3 linked regions of the Nothobranchius furzeri genome follow. The protein of the gene in region 3 interacts with the protein of the main gene of each other region in a pairwise test. Links are inferred from orthologs where the notes say so. Each region holds a gene or a part of one and is shown on either strand. Other genes may lie near its edges.

Region 1 (3,519 bases), on a different chromosome or scaffold from region 3:
ATCCAGCGAGTTAACGGCTCTCTAGCTGTGTCTAGAGCTCTAGGAGACTTTGACTACAAGTGTGTGCTTGGCAAAGGCCCAACAGAGCAGCTTGTTTCTCCAGAACCTGAAGTGTACGCAATAGAAAGATCTGACGAGCAAGATGAATTCATTATACTAGCTTGTGATGGTATCTGGGACGTCATGGCCAATGAGGAACTCTGTGACTTTGTGCGGTCAAGGCTAGAGGTTACAGATGATCTTGAAAAAGTCAGCAATGAAATTGTTGACACCTGCTTGTACAAGGTATGGTATTTCCACAAGACCTGCTCATATCTGTACCAACTCCTGTGGTTGAGTTGCTTAATTGGTTGATTTCTTTTTTCTCCATAGGGAAGCCGTGACAATATGAGTGTTGTGTTAATCTGCTTTCCTGGAGCCCCAAAGGTATCTCCAGAGGCAGTGCAACAGGAGGCGGAGCTGGACAAATATCTTGAGGCCAGAGTAGAAGGTAGGAGATGAAGAAATGCTTTTTTTGTTTCTTGTGCAGAACATTTTTATTTTAACTTTTAAGCAGGTAGGAAAAGCAAGTTTAGATAGGTATATATGTTTAAGTGCTGCTTATCAGAGGCAAATCTGTTCAGATTTTCTTGTTTTTAAAACCATGTGACATTTTAAAGCAGCTTTCTATAAACGGGTTTATTCAATATAAATGTTTAGTCATGACAGAAAATGTGAAAGGTTACATCACGTAAGTGAAAGAGGACTTCATATTCATTTTTGCTCCAAGATCGCCAAAATTTGGAAATCTGTGGCAAACCATGTGGTCTGAATATTCATGTCCAGCACAAAATGCATGTTGTAGATTTACCACTGTTCAGGACAGACCATGTTGCACAAAATTAATATAAAGCTGAGCACTCCCATTAAATATGTTTGCACATTTCTTTGTTAAACTCGGGTAATTTGTATATTCATAAACTGAGAACTAGTCCACACGTAGCCGGGTTTTTTTTTTAAAACAAATATCCGCCCCTCCAAAAACTTGCATCCACACCACCTCGTTTAAAAAAAACTCTGTCTACACGTACCCAGATAAATACGTTGTTAAGGACATGCCAGACCTGTAGGTGGCAGTACTTCCCCGTTCTTAACCTCGTCCTTCGTCTGTGGTCTTCCGCAAGAAGCAGTAATTCCGCTTGCAAAAACAAACAAGCAAAAAGCGCTTGGACAATTGATAAAGCGAGCACAGCTCTGAGGGCATCCATGCTGTCGGCTAGTGTAAACACAGGTCGCACACGTGATGTCAGCATTTTTTTGTCGCGGAAAGTGACGTTGCAGACCTTAAAACTCCGGTTTTGTCTGTCCACACGCAGACACCCAAAACGGTGAAAATGCAGATCTTCACTTTGGCCGGAGTTTTTAAAAAGATCCGTTTTCGTGTGAAAAAACTCAGTTTTCATGTGGATGACAGGCCAAAACGTAGAAAAATATCTACGTTTTGGCAGATCCCCGGCTACGTGTGGACAGAGCCTGAAAGTGTGATTGTGTCCATGGGCCAAAATAAAGGAATTTAAACCCTGAAGCCATTCCAAGTCATAAATGGATCATCTTTGTTTTGTCTTTGTCTATTTGTATTGTTTAGAGTATTTTAATGTCCTAACTGTTACATCATCAGTTTGGGGCCAATAAAACATTTTTGGGTGTTTTTTATGCTTTTATTAGTTATTCATATGTTTTTTTGTTTCATTGCCCTGCTGGGAAATGATCAAACCACGACCCTGAAACCAAAGTTCAAGTTGAATATTTGAGTTGTCATTGTATCCTAAGGCTGTTTGACCAAACCTTTGGTAAACAAAAGGACTTCAGTCTCATCTTTAAGGTTAGAAATGGTGGTAATGCATCTCTGGATGTCAAACCTAAAAAGATCTTCAGGTCCACTAAATTCTGTCTGATCAAGATGAGATCATTCCCAGGTATGTCCATGCATTTTTCAACAAGTCAGTGCAAAACCACAGTTTCAACATGGTACAAAGAAAATGGGTAAGGAAAAAAGAGAGCCAGATTCCTTGACTAACCTGACTGCAGCCCTGACCTGTCTCCAACATGTGGAAAATGTATGAAGAAAGGCGACAACAACCCTGTACCACTGCACACTTTTAATATTTGATTGCAGGAAGAAATCACAACTCGGATGCTTGCTTCTTATCCTAAATGCTCGAATGCACTTTAGTTGTGAGAGGGAATGGCAACATTACAAAGTGGTAAAAGTTTTACCAGCCCAGCAATTTTTGATGTGTGACGTGTGCAATTAAATTTATGTATACATAAATACATGTAGCAAGATTTAAATAGAAGAATCCAGGGAAACACATTTCAAGCATTTATTTTTATAAATTTACCATTTGTTTTTTTTTTCCTCATTCGCAGAGATACTCAAAAAACAAGGAGGTCCGGTTGCCCCAGATTTGGTTCATGTTATGCGGACGTTAGCTTCTGAGAGTATCCCCAATCTTCCTCCTGGAGGAGAACTGGCGAGCAAGTAAGTGGCCCTTGTACTTGTGCTGAGTCACTTTTTTTTAAGACGTGTGATTATTTTTATTTCTCCAATTATTGCTTTTAAAATCACAACCATTGATGTAATTTTCTTTAGCACTATAATTTATTTCTACTTTTGTTCTTGTGCTCAGACGAAGTGTTATTGAGGCATTCTACAACAAACTTAACCCATACCGAAGTGATGACACTGTAAGTATCTGGCTGTTTCTTTGGGTTGTTTTTGGTCTGCTTTATTTGTAGAATGCATGGTTTTGATGTGTGACAAGCAACGAAAATACTTTGCATGTGTATGAATTCAAAAAGCCAAATAAAACTATTGGGGGTAATGCAGAATCATTTATGATTTTAATCCTGAGGTCGGCAACAAAAATGTTCAGTTGCTTACTTTTCTAGTTTTAGTTAAATAGCTCACATTTCTTTATTATTTTGATAATGTTATCAATTTAATATCACCTGACTTAATATTTACTCCTTATTTAAACTTTCTATATAAAATTTAAAGTGTCTAAGTGAAACTTTCAATTGCTTAAGAAACTAACACGATAACTGGTAAATGGGCCCGTATTTGATAAAACACCTTGTCGGGTTCTACAGCCCTCCAAGGTTTTTTACAACATACCAGCCAATCACATTTCACTCGGTACCCTTTGTTTTTTCCTAACTTAGTTATAAAGAGTAAAAACTGTCATCCAGTATCAGTTATTACTATCCGTTATTGTTTTCTGTCTTCATGGTTAAGTATAGCAAAGAATAATTGCATAGAAATGAAAATATTGTTACCACCAGTATTTTTACCAAACGTAAGCAAATAAGAATTGGTCTAAGTTCTGAGTCTTCCACTGCTAACTAGCGCTCAAGCAATGGCTTCCCAAGCCATAGGCTATAGGGTCTTGATGGGAATCCTTTTAACCCCATGTGATGGACCATAGACACTAATGGCTAGAAGTGGTTTCCTTCATTTTGACACATCCTAATTTTTAT
Region 2 (3,519 bases), on a different chromosome or scaffold from region 3:
GGTCAGTGACGGCGGCTGCAGCGTAACCATCTGTCTCTTTTATTTAGGGACACGGAAAAGTTAAAAGTAAAGAGAAATAGAAGATAGAAGTTTTTGTTCCACTTTATTCTTTTGTTTCATGATGATAAACTGATGTTAAATTCAGCTTAAAGAGAAACTGGGAGGAAGCTTTGGTTCAATTTAAGTTACAGGAGATCTTGTTTCCTATCTGCTCCTCCAGAGACAGCATGGACATGAGGGTTACATGGTGAGGGTCCCACAGGACAGGTTGGTGGAAAGGTTTGTAGTTAGCTGGTTAGTGAAAGAGATCCATCAGCTGGGTAATTTAATCCTAATCCAGCCCACAGCCTTCTGCTGGTGTTATTATCAGAAAGAATAAAACACACATCTTAAATATTATTGGAAGTTTAGGATTATTTTAATGTTTTATTATTTTTTGCTTTAAACAACTTGATTCATTCTCCAACATTTCAGAAATAAGGCCACTGGGTTCAAATAAAAAAATAACAAACTAAGCCAAACATTTCATTTGGTGTTATTTCTTACAGCCTTGAACTGTAACAGAAATATTTGACTCTAAAGCTGCTCAAAGACATTAAACACTCATATATGAACCCTTTAAGGATTTCATAACTTAAATTAAAGGCAAGAATCAGACGTGTCCTGTAGGTTTTCAGATTTTGTGAGTATTTGCAAAGCATGCTTTTCTCAGCCTGAGCTGTGATGTTGAATGAGGAAACAGATTTTTTTACTTTGTTAAATCTTCTTAAATGGTTAAAAATGTTTTGTCCTAAGGACTGTTGTGAATGGAGAGCTTTTGGAGATGGCAGGTTGTGTCAGACACAAGTAAATTTTATGAAATCTTCTATTTATCGATGAAAACAAATCCATATGAAATAGTCATCGGGATATATAATCGATTTGAATTGTCGACCCAATTATCGTAATCGAAACGGGAGACAAGTGAAGATTCACACCTCTAGTGCAGGAACAGCAGCGGTGCTGTAATATTGCAGGCTGGTGTAATGAAAAGCCAGCAACCCCCCCCCCCCCCCCCCCCCCCCATTTCCTTGTGTTGGCTGGCTTAGCTGAATTGCTGCAGTGAATTGAACCAGATCCGTTTTGTTGAATGCAGCACCAATCTTCCACCTTTATACATGCCCTGTTTGCACACATTACACCTTTGCTGTTCATTTATAAATACATCCAAAATACAAACATTTTCTATCTTTTGAGGTGATAACTATGCTCTGTGTTAGCCAACTGCTGCATGTAGTGGTGTGTGAATTCCCAGAATTAAATTGTGGGACTTACTAATTTGTAGTCTGTGAATCAAAGAATACCAATGCAGAGGAACTTGTTGAATTTAAAACTTAAGCCACTGTTTTTTCGTTAGAAAATCTCTTTGTTAGGATGAATTTAAAAAGGCATGTTCAACCGGCATGGTTAAATCAGATTAAGCTGCACCTATCAAATTTGGCCCATTCACCTCTAACTAAACTACAGTTAGCCCCCAGAATACCTACTCTAGACAAGGTTAGGGTTCCCCTTTACCTGATGGTGGTTCATATCAGCCACCATTTGTTCCCCACTTCCCGTCAGGCCTGGAGTGCAGTTCTGGGCTTGTTCCTGAAGAGGTTCCCTTGCTTTCAGGAGAACCCTGTTGACAGCAGCCATGGCAGCTTCACGACAGAGAGCCATGAGATCAGCTCCTACGTAGCCTGGAGTAAGCCGAGCCAGCTGCTGGTAGTCAAAATCTTCTGGCAGCACCAGCTTTCGACACAATGTTCTTAAGATCCTGGTCAAACACACAATCATGCTTGCATTAGGTTCAGAGTGGCTTTTACGAGAAATGTAGGGCTGAGTGATATAGCTTAAAATTAAGCTGTACAATTTTGTTTAATTCCAAATGCAGCATTTATTTAATCTTCCCTTATTGGAGTTGACCTGAATTCAAAGTCGTAAAACCTGCTTGTAAAACAATTTAAAGGTGGCAAAACAGTATTTGCACCAATTGTGCAAGTTGTTCTACTTAAAGATGACAAATCTGTTATTTTCATCAGATATACTTCTACTGTGGGAGACGGAATGTAAAAAAAAGGATATCGCATTGTATGATTTTTAAAATAATTTATCTGTGTAATGTGCAGAAAATAAGTTTTTAGCAAGAATTTTGGCCCTCAGACCTGCTATTTCTTCTTCAAGAAGATCGTCTGCCCTCTACTTGTTAGCTGATGTGAAATTCCCTCAGTGTGGAAATCGGCTTTTGTTACCCTTTTGTTAAAAGGAGGAGATCCAACAGAATTATCAAATTATAGGCCAATATCAAACTTATCTATACTGGCCAAAGTTCTTGAGGATCTGGTGAGTGAACAGTTAAAGGAGTTTTAAAACACTAATGCTATTTTATCTGAATATCAATCAGGTTTTAGGAAAACATACAGTACTACCACGGCTGTACTAAAAGTGGTAAACAACATTGTTGTTGCTCTGGACAAAAAGCAGCACTGTGCATCCCTTTTTATAGATTTGTCAAAAGCATTTGACACTGTTGACCATGGTATTCTAAAACTTAGACTCCTCCAGTCAGAACTATCTGAAAAAGCAGTGGGATGGTTCTCAAATTATCTTAAAAACAGGTTTTAGTGTATTTAAATCAGATGGACTTTGTTCTGATTTGCCATAGTCCACAAGGGGGTACCACAGGGCTCTGTGTTGGGCCCTCTTGTATTTATCATTTACATTAATAATCTTGGTCTAAATGTGACAGATGCAAACCTGCACTTTTATGTCGATGATACAGTTATTTACAGCTGTGGAAACACTCTTAACTCAAGCCATAGATTCAGTACAGAAAGCTTTTGTTGCTGTCCAGCATTCATTACTTCAGCTTAAACTTGTTCTCAATGCAGACAAAACCAAGCTCATGCTGTTTACAAACTCGAGGAGACAGGCTCAAGTGGTTCCTTCAGTGACCACACTTGATGGTTAAGAAATATTGTTGGTTCACTCATATAAATATCTGGGTTTCTTGATTGATGACTCACTCACCTTCAAACCTCGTGGAGAATCTGGTGAAGAAGCTGAAGTTAGGACTGCGTTTGTATTTTCAAAATAAGTTGTGTTTCTCTTTTAATGCAAAGATCCGTCTTGTTGTTGCAACATTTTTTCCTGTCCTGGATTATGGAGATATTTTGTATATGAACGCTTCTGCTAAATGTCTTCAGTCACTTGACACAGTGTATCATGCTGCTCTAAGGCTTATTACTAACCGTAAGTACTCGACTCATCATTGTGAGTTGTACAATCAGATGGGATGGCCTGCTTTGACCATCAGGAGGAAGTCTCATTTTTTCAGATTTATATATAAAGGCACTACTTGGTCTGCTACCTTCCTATATAACTTCCCTACTTAAAATGAAAATTGCAGGTCATTATTCTCTTTGTTTACAAGACACTTTGCTACTTTCTGTCCCATTTGTACGTACTGAATTTGGAAAGAGATATTTTGCCCATTCA
Region 3 (3,385 bases):
TATAGATTTCCCCCTGCAGCTTTGGGGTCAGGAGCAGAGTTGGTCTGTGTATTTCCGGACAGACGTGCAACACGAAAGCCTGAAGGATGATGCTATGGAAGGAGAGAAAGAAGTGATGGAAACAGGTTCCATCCTACAGATGATCAGCTGGTGCAGAACAACATGAAAATAACCAGCATGGCTGGCTTCTTTCCGGCAGCTGAGCATCATTGACTGTTGTCAGTTCAGTTTAAGCCACGCCCACTTTACATGCACTAATGGGACGTTTAGTAAAATCCAATTGATCATTTGACTGAGTTCATTTATTTAGTTGTTAGCTGGCTGCATGTTATTTTATTAGATTTTGCTTAAAAAGCAAACAACAATTATGTGCAGGTAAGTAAACAGGACTTTCGTGATGCGCTTTTTGCATGGATGACCAAAAGATATAATTTAGCCACATAAATTCATTCTCAGACGTAGCTCAACTACACAGACCCATGTTGGTGTCACATCATGAAAAAAAAGACAAAAGAATATTTTTTGTTAATTTTATTTCCAAAAGCAGCTCAGTGACAAACAGGTACCTGAGGACACACGATTTTAATAATGACCACTGAGAAGCAACATCAACATTTACTTCAAATGAAAAAGCTAATTAAAAAGTAATAAAAAAAACCACAACAAGATTCATCTCCTCGAAGACGTTTGTGGATTAAAACAAAAAGCATGCATGCGTGTGCGTTGATGGCATCAGGGTGTATAGCGCTGCTATCTACTTCTGGGTCACGGCGGGTTTCTTCTCCACGGTGACGGGGATCGTGGTTTCGGTCGACTCGATGGCCATCAGAGGAGCCTCCACGGTCAGAATCCCCTCAGGGGAGAGAGAGGAGGTCACCTTCTCGAAAGTAGCGGTAGGAGGGAGGCTGGAGGAGGGGGGAGGAGACAGTGTTACACATTGTTGTAGTAGCAGAGGTGTGGCCACTAGGTGGCAGCAGACTTGTGGAGTTGAATAAACCAGATATGACTGACTAGGTGGCTGATAAGGCATTTCAGAACTCCAAACTTCAGCTTCAGATATACAGAATACATTTGACTGCATGCATTTTGCACAAACCTGCAGATTTTGAAAAAATAAAATAAAAGCTTACGTGTATTTCCTGGTGAAGCTCCTAGAAATGAAGCCGTGTTCATCCTTCCTCTCCTCGTGCTTTCCTGTGGAAACAACAGAAATTATTAAAAAAATAATTAATAAACAGCTAGTGATGTCATTCATCTCTTGTGCCATTCCGTGAGACTGAATCACACGCTTTGTTTATCTCTGTGCTCAGACCAGGTCCAGTCAACTGGACCGGATCCAGCAGTCCTTTTAAAGCTGCAGACACTGGGGAGTCACAGCAAACTGGAAGAACTGGGATCACGAGGGCGAGTCCGAGAGGGAGGAGGCCTCACATGCCACCAGTAAAAATGTAAACAAAAAGTAAAACTAAGCTGCTTCACAGGTATCTGTTGGCTTCTAGCCAGAATCCCACTCCCACCCATGTGAGGAAGAGGGGGAGGGGTCCTTTTCATCTGGAGACAATGACCTCAGTTAACCTGGATCCTGAATAAAAGATCCTGAATGTTTGCAGGTTACTTAAACACCTAGAGAAGAGAGAAAACTCACCAGAGATCTCCACAACACCATCCTTCATCTTCACCACCAGCTCCTCAGGTGAGAAGTGGTTGACGTCAAGGGACACCTTCCAGCTGTCCTGCGTCTGCTTGATCTCTGACACGCCACTGCCCATCTGCCTGGACAGGGCACGAGCCTGCTGGGCCAACATCTGTCCCGGGTACATGTGGCTGTGGGGCATCATGATGTCAGTGCCCAGGATGGAGGGCCTCAGGTAGCCGGGCCAGCGGGAGCTGGGGAACGTGGGAAAGTCCTCCAGCAGGGCCGGCATGCCGAAGATCTGGTCAAAGATCCGGCTGCTGTGGTGCCAGTCCCGGAGCGGATCCCAGCTGGGAGTGCGGGCCAGGGTGAAGGGAATATTTCTCTCAGCCATGCTTGCTGTGGTCGGGCAGAAGAAGTCTTCTCAAGTCTTTCAGAAAATGTTCTTCCAAGTTGATGCCTGACTCACATGCTGCAGAGCTTTTATACACGCTGGTCCCACCCCCCTAACGCCCTGCCCCCAGACCCACAAGCCCCCAACATGCCTACGGAAAGATCTAGAATCTATTTGTGTCTGTTGCAGCACGTGGAGGGCGGGTCTTGGTAACAGCTGCCCAGTGCAAACGTAAGAGCTCCCACCCCCACCCCTCCCATTCTGATCAGATCTGACTAGAAGCAACTGGAGGAAACCTGAAGAGCCGATGTGATCACAACATGCTGGGATACGATGCAAAAAGTAACACATAATACTCACCTGGGTTAACCCTCTGGAGGCAGGCATTGCAGGTTTGCAACAGTTACCTACCTGGTTACTCCACATATGTGTTTCATGAGCATTGTTTAACTCAGAGGTCGTCCTTCTATCAAAACTCATTTTGACCCAAACTGGGTTAAAAACTCCCAAGTTTCTTAGTGGATGACAGGAAACTGTTTAGTTTCATCAAAGTAGGAAAAAGTGAGCTAAAAACCAGACATGAAAACATCATTTTGGTTGCATTCGTTTCTCAGGGTCGTGGTTTTGCTCTAGTTTTAATACAGATGCACATTTACACACACAACGGTCTAGAAAGATGCGTCCAATAGAAAACATTTAGCAGAGTGTTGTAGAAACACCTGGAAGATGGGTTTAGGGTAAGCAAAGGGAGCATTTACACGTACGTGTTAGATCCTGCCTGGGAGACACTTTCAACTGTGAATCAATTCAACCCCTTCTTTTCGGGCTATCTACGCCAAAATACTAACTGTATTTTGATATCAAACTGGATTAAAAACATAGAAGACGTTCATTTTAGACCAAATGCATCTCAGTTTTAAACAAAATGCTGCTGGGTGTTGTCTTTGAGCAACCCTCTGGAGGCAGGCGTTGCAGATTTGCAACACTACTAAAACCTACCTACCTGGTTACTCCACATACACGTTTCATAAGCATTTTTAACTCAGAAGTATTCAGATATTTAGCTGGAAAAAAAAGAAAGAAAAACCAACAATTCCACCATTTTTCAACATGAGATGATTTTGTTTGAACATCTAGAATGAAAATGATCTAACTAATATAAACCCTTTCATGCATAAAGTTCAAAAACTTCTGAAAAGATTTTTAAAGAAAAACAAATGTTAACGTTCAAAATTTACATTTTTTAAAGAGCCACACATTTTCTTACATTATTATTATAGTATGTTATTAATGAAAACACTAGAGTCTAATGTGGTTGTATAAATAAAAGTTTACCATCAACATTCATATAAGCAAAA

Evidence for each region. The genes of interacting proteins can lie anywhere in the genome.
Region 1: the proteins of hspb1 (region 3) and ppm1aa interact in a two-hybrid assay, tested with the Homo sapiens proteins (2 studies listed by BioGRID and IntAct). The link is inferred for Nothobranchius furzeri from reciprocal best matches to the Homo sapiens genes HSPB1 and PPM1A.
Region 2: the proteins of hspb1 (region 3) and nvl interact in binary tests that used the Homo sapiens proteins (3 or more experiments, as listed by UniProt). The link is inferred for Nothobranchius furzeri from reciprocal best matches to the Homo sapiens genes HSPB1 and NVL.

The regions. Positions count from the first base shown.
Region 1 is NC_091758.1:31,241,378-31,244,896, reverse strand, and holds part of ppm1aa (protein phosphatase 1A), read left to right. Parts: coding exon 1-285; intron 286-372; coding exon 373-490; intron 491-2,409; coding exon 2,410-2,521; intron 2,522-2,669; coding exon 2,670-2,727; intron 2,728-3,519. UniProt on the Homo sapiens protein: Enzyme with a broad specificity. Negatively regulates TGF-beta signaling through dephosphorylating SMAD2 and SMAD3, resulting in their dissociation from SMAD4, nuclear export of the SMADs and termination of the TGF-beta-mediated signaling.
Region 2 is NC_091752.1:59,274,772-59,278,290, forward strand, and holds part of nvl (nuclear valosin-containing protein-like), read right to left. Parts: intron 1,799-3,519; coding exon 1,555-1,798; intron 1-1,554. UniProt on the Homo sapiens protein: Participates in the assembly of the telomerase holoenzyme and effecting of telomerase activity via its interaction with TERT. Involved in both early and late stages of the pre-rRNA processing pathways.
Region 3 is NC_091750.1:66,231,748-66,235,132, reverse strand, and holds hspb1 (heat shock protein beta-1), read right to left. Parts: upstream 2,118-3,385; 5' UTR 2,028-2,117; coding exon 1,646-2,027; intron 1,195-1,645; coding exon 1,131-1,194; intron 906-1,130; coding exon 755-905; 3' UTR 517-754; downstream 1-516. UniProt on the Homo sapiens protein: Small heat shock protein which functions as a molecular chaperone probably maintaining denatured proteins in a folding-competent state. Plays a role in stress resistance and actin organization.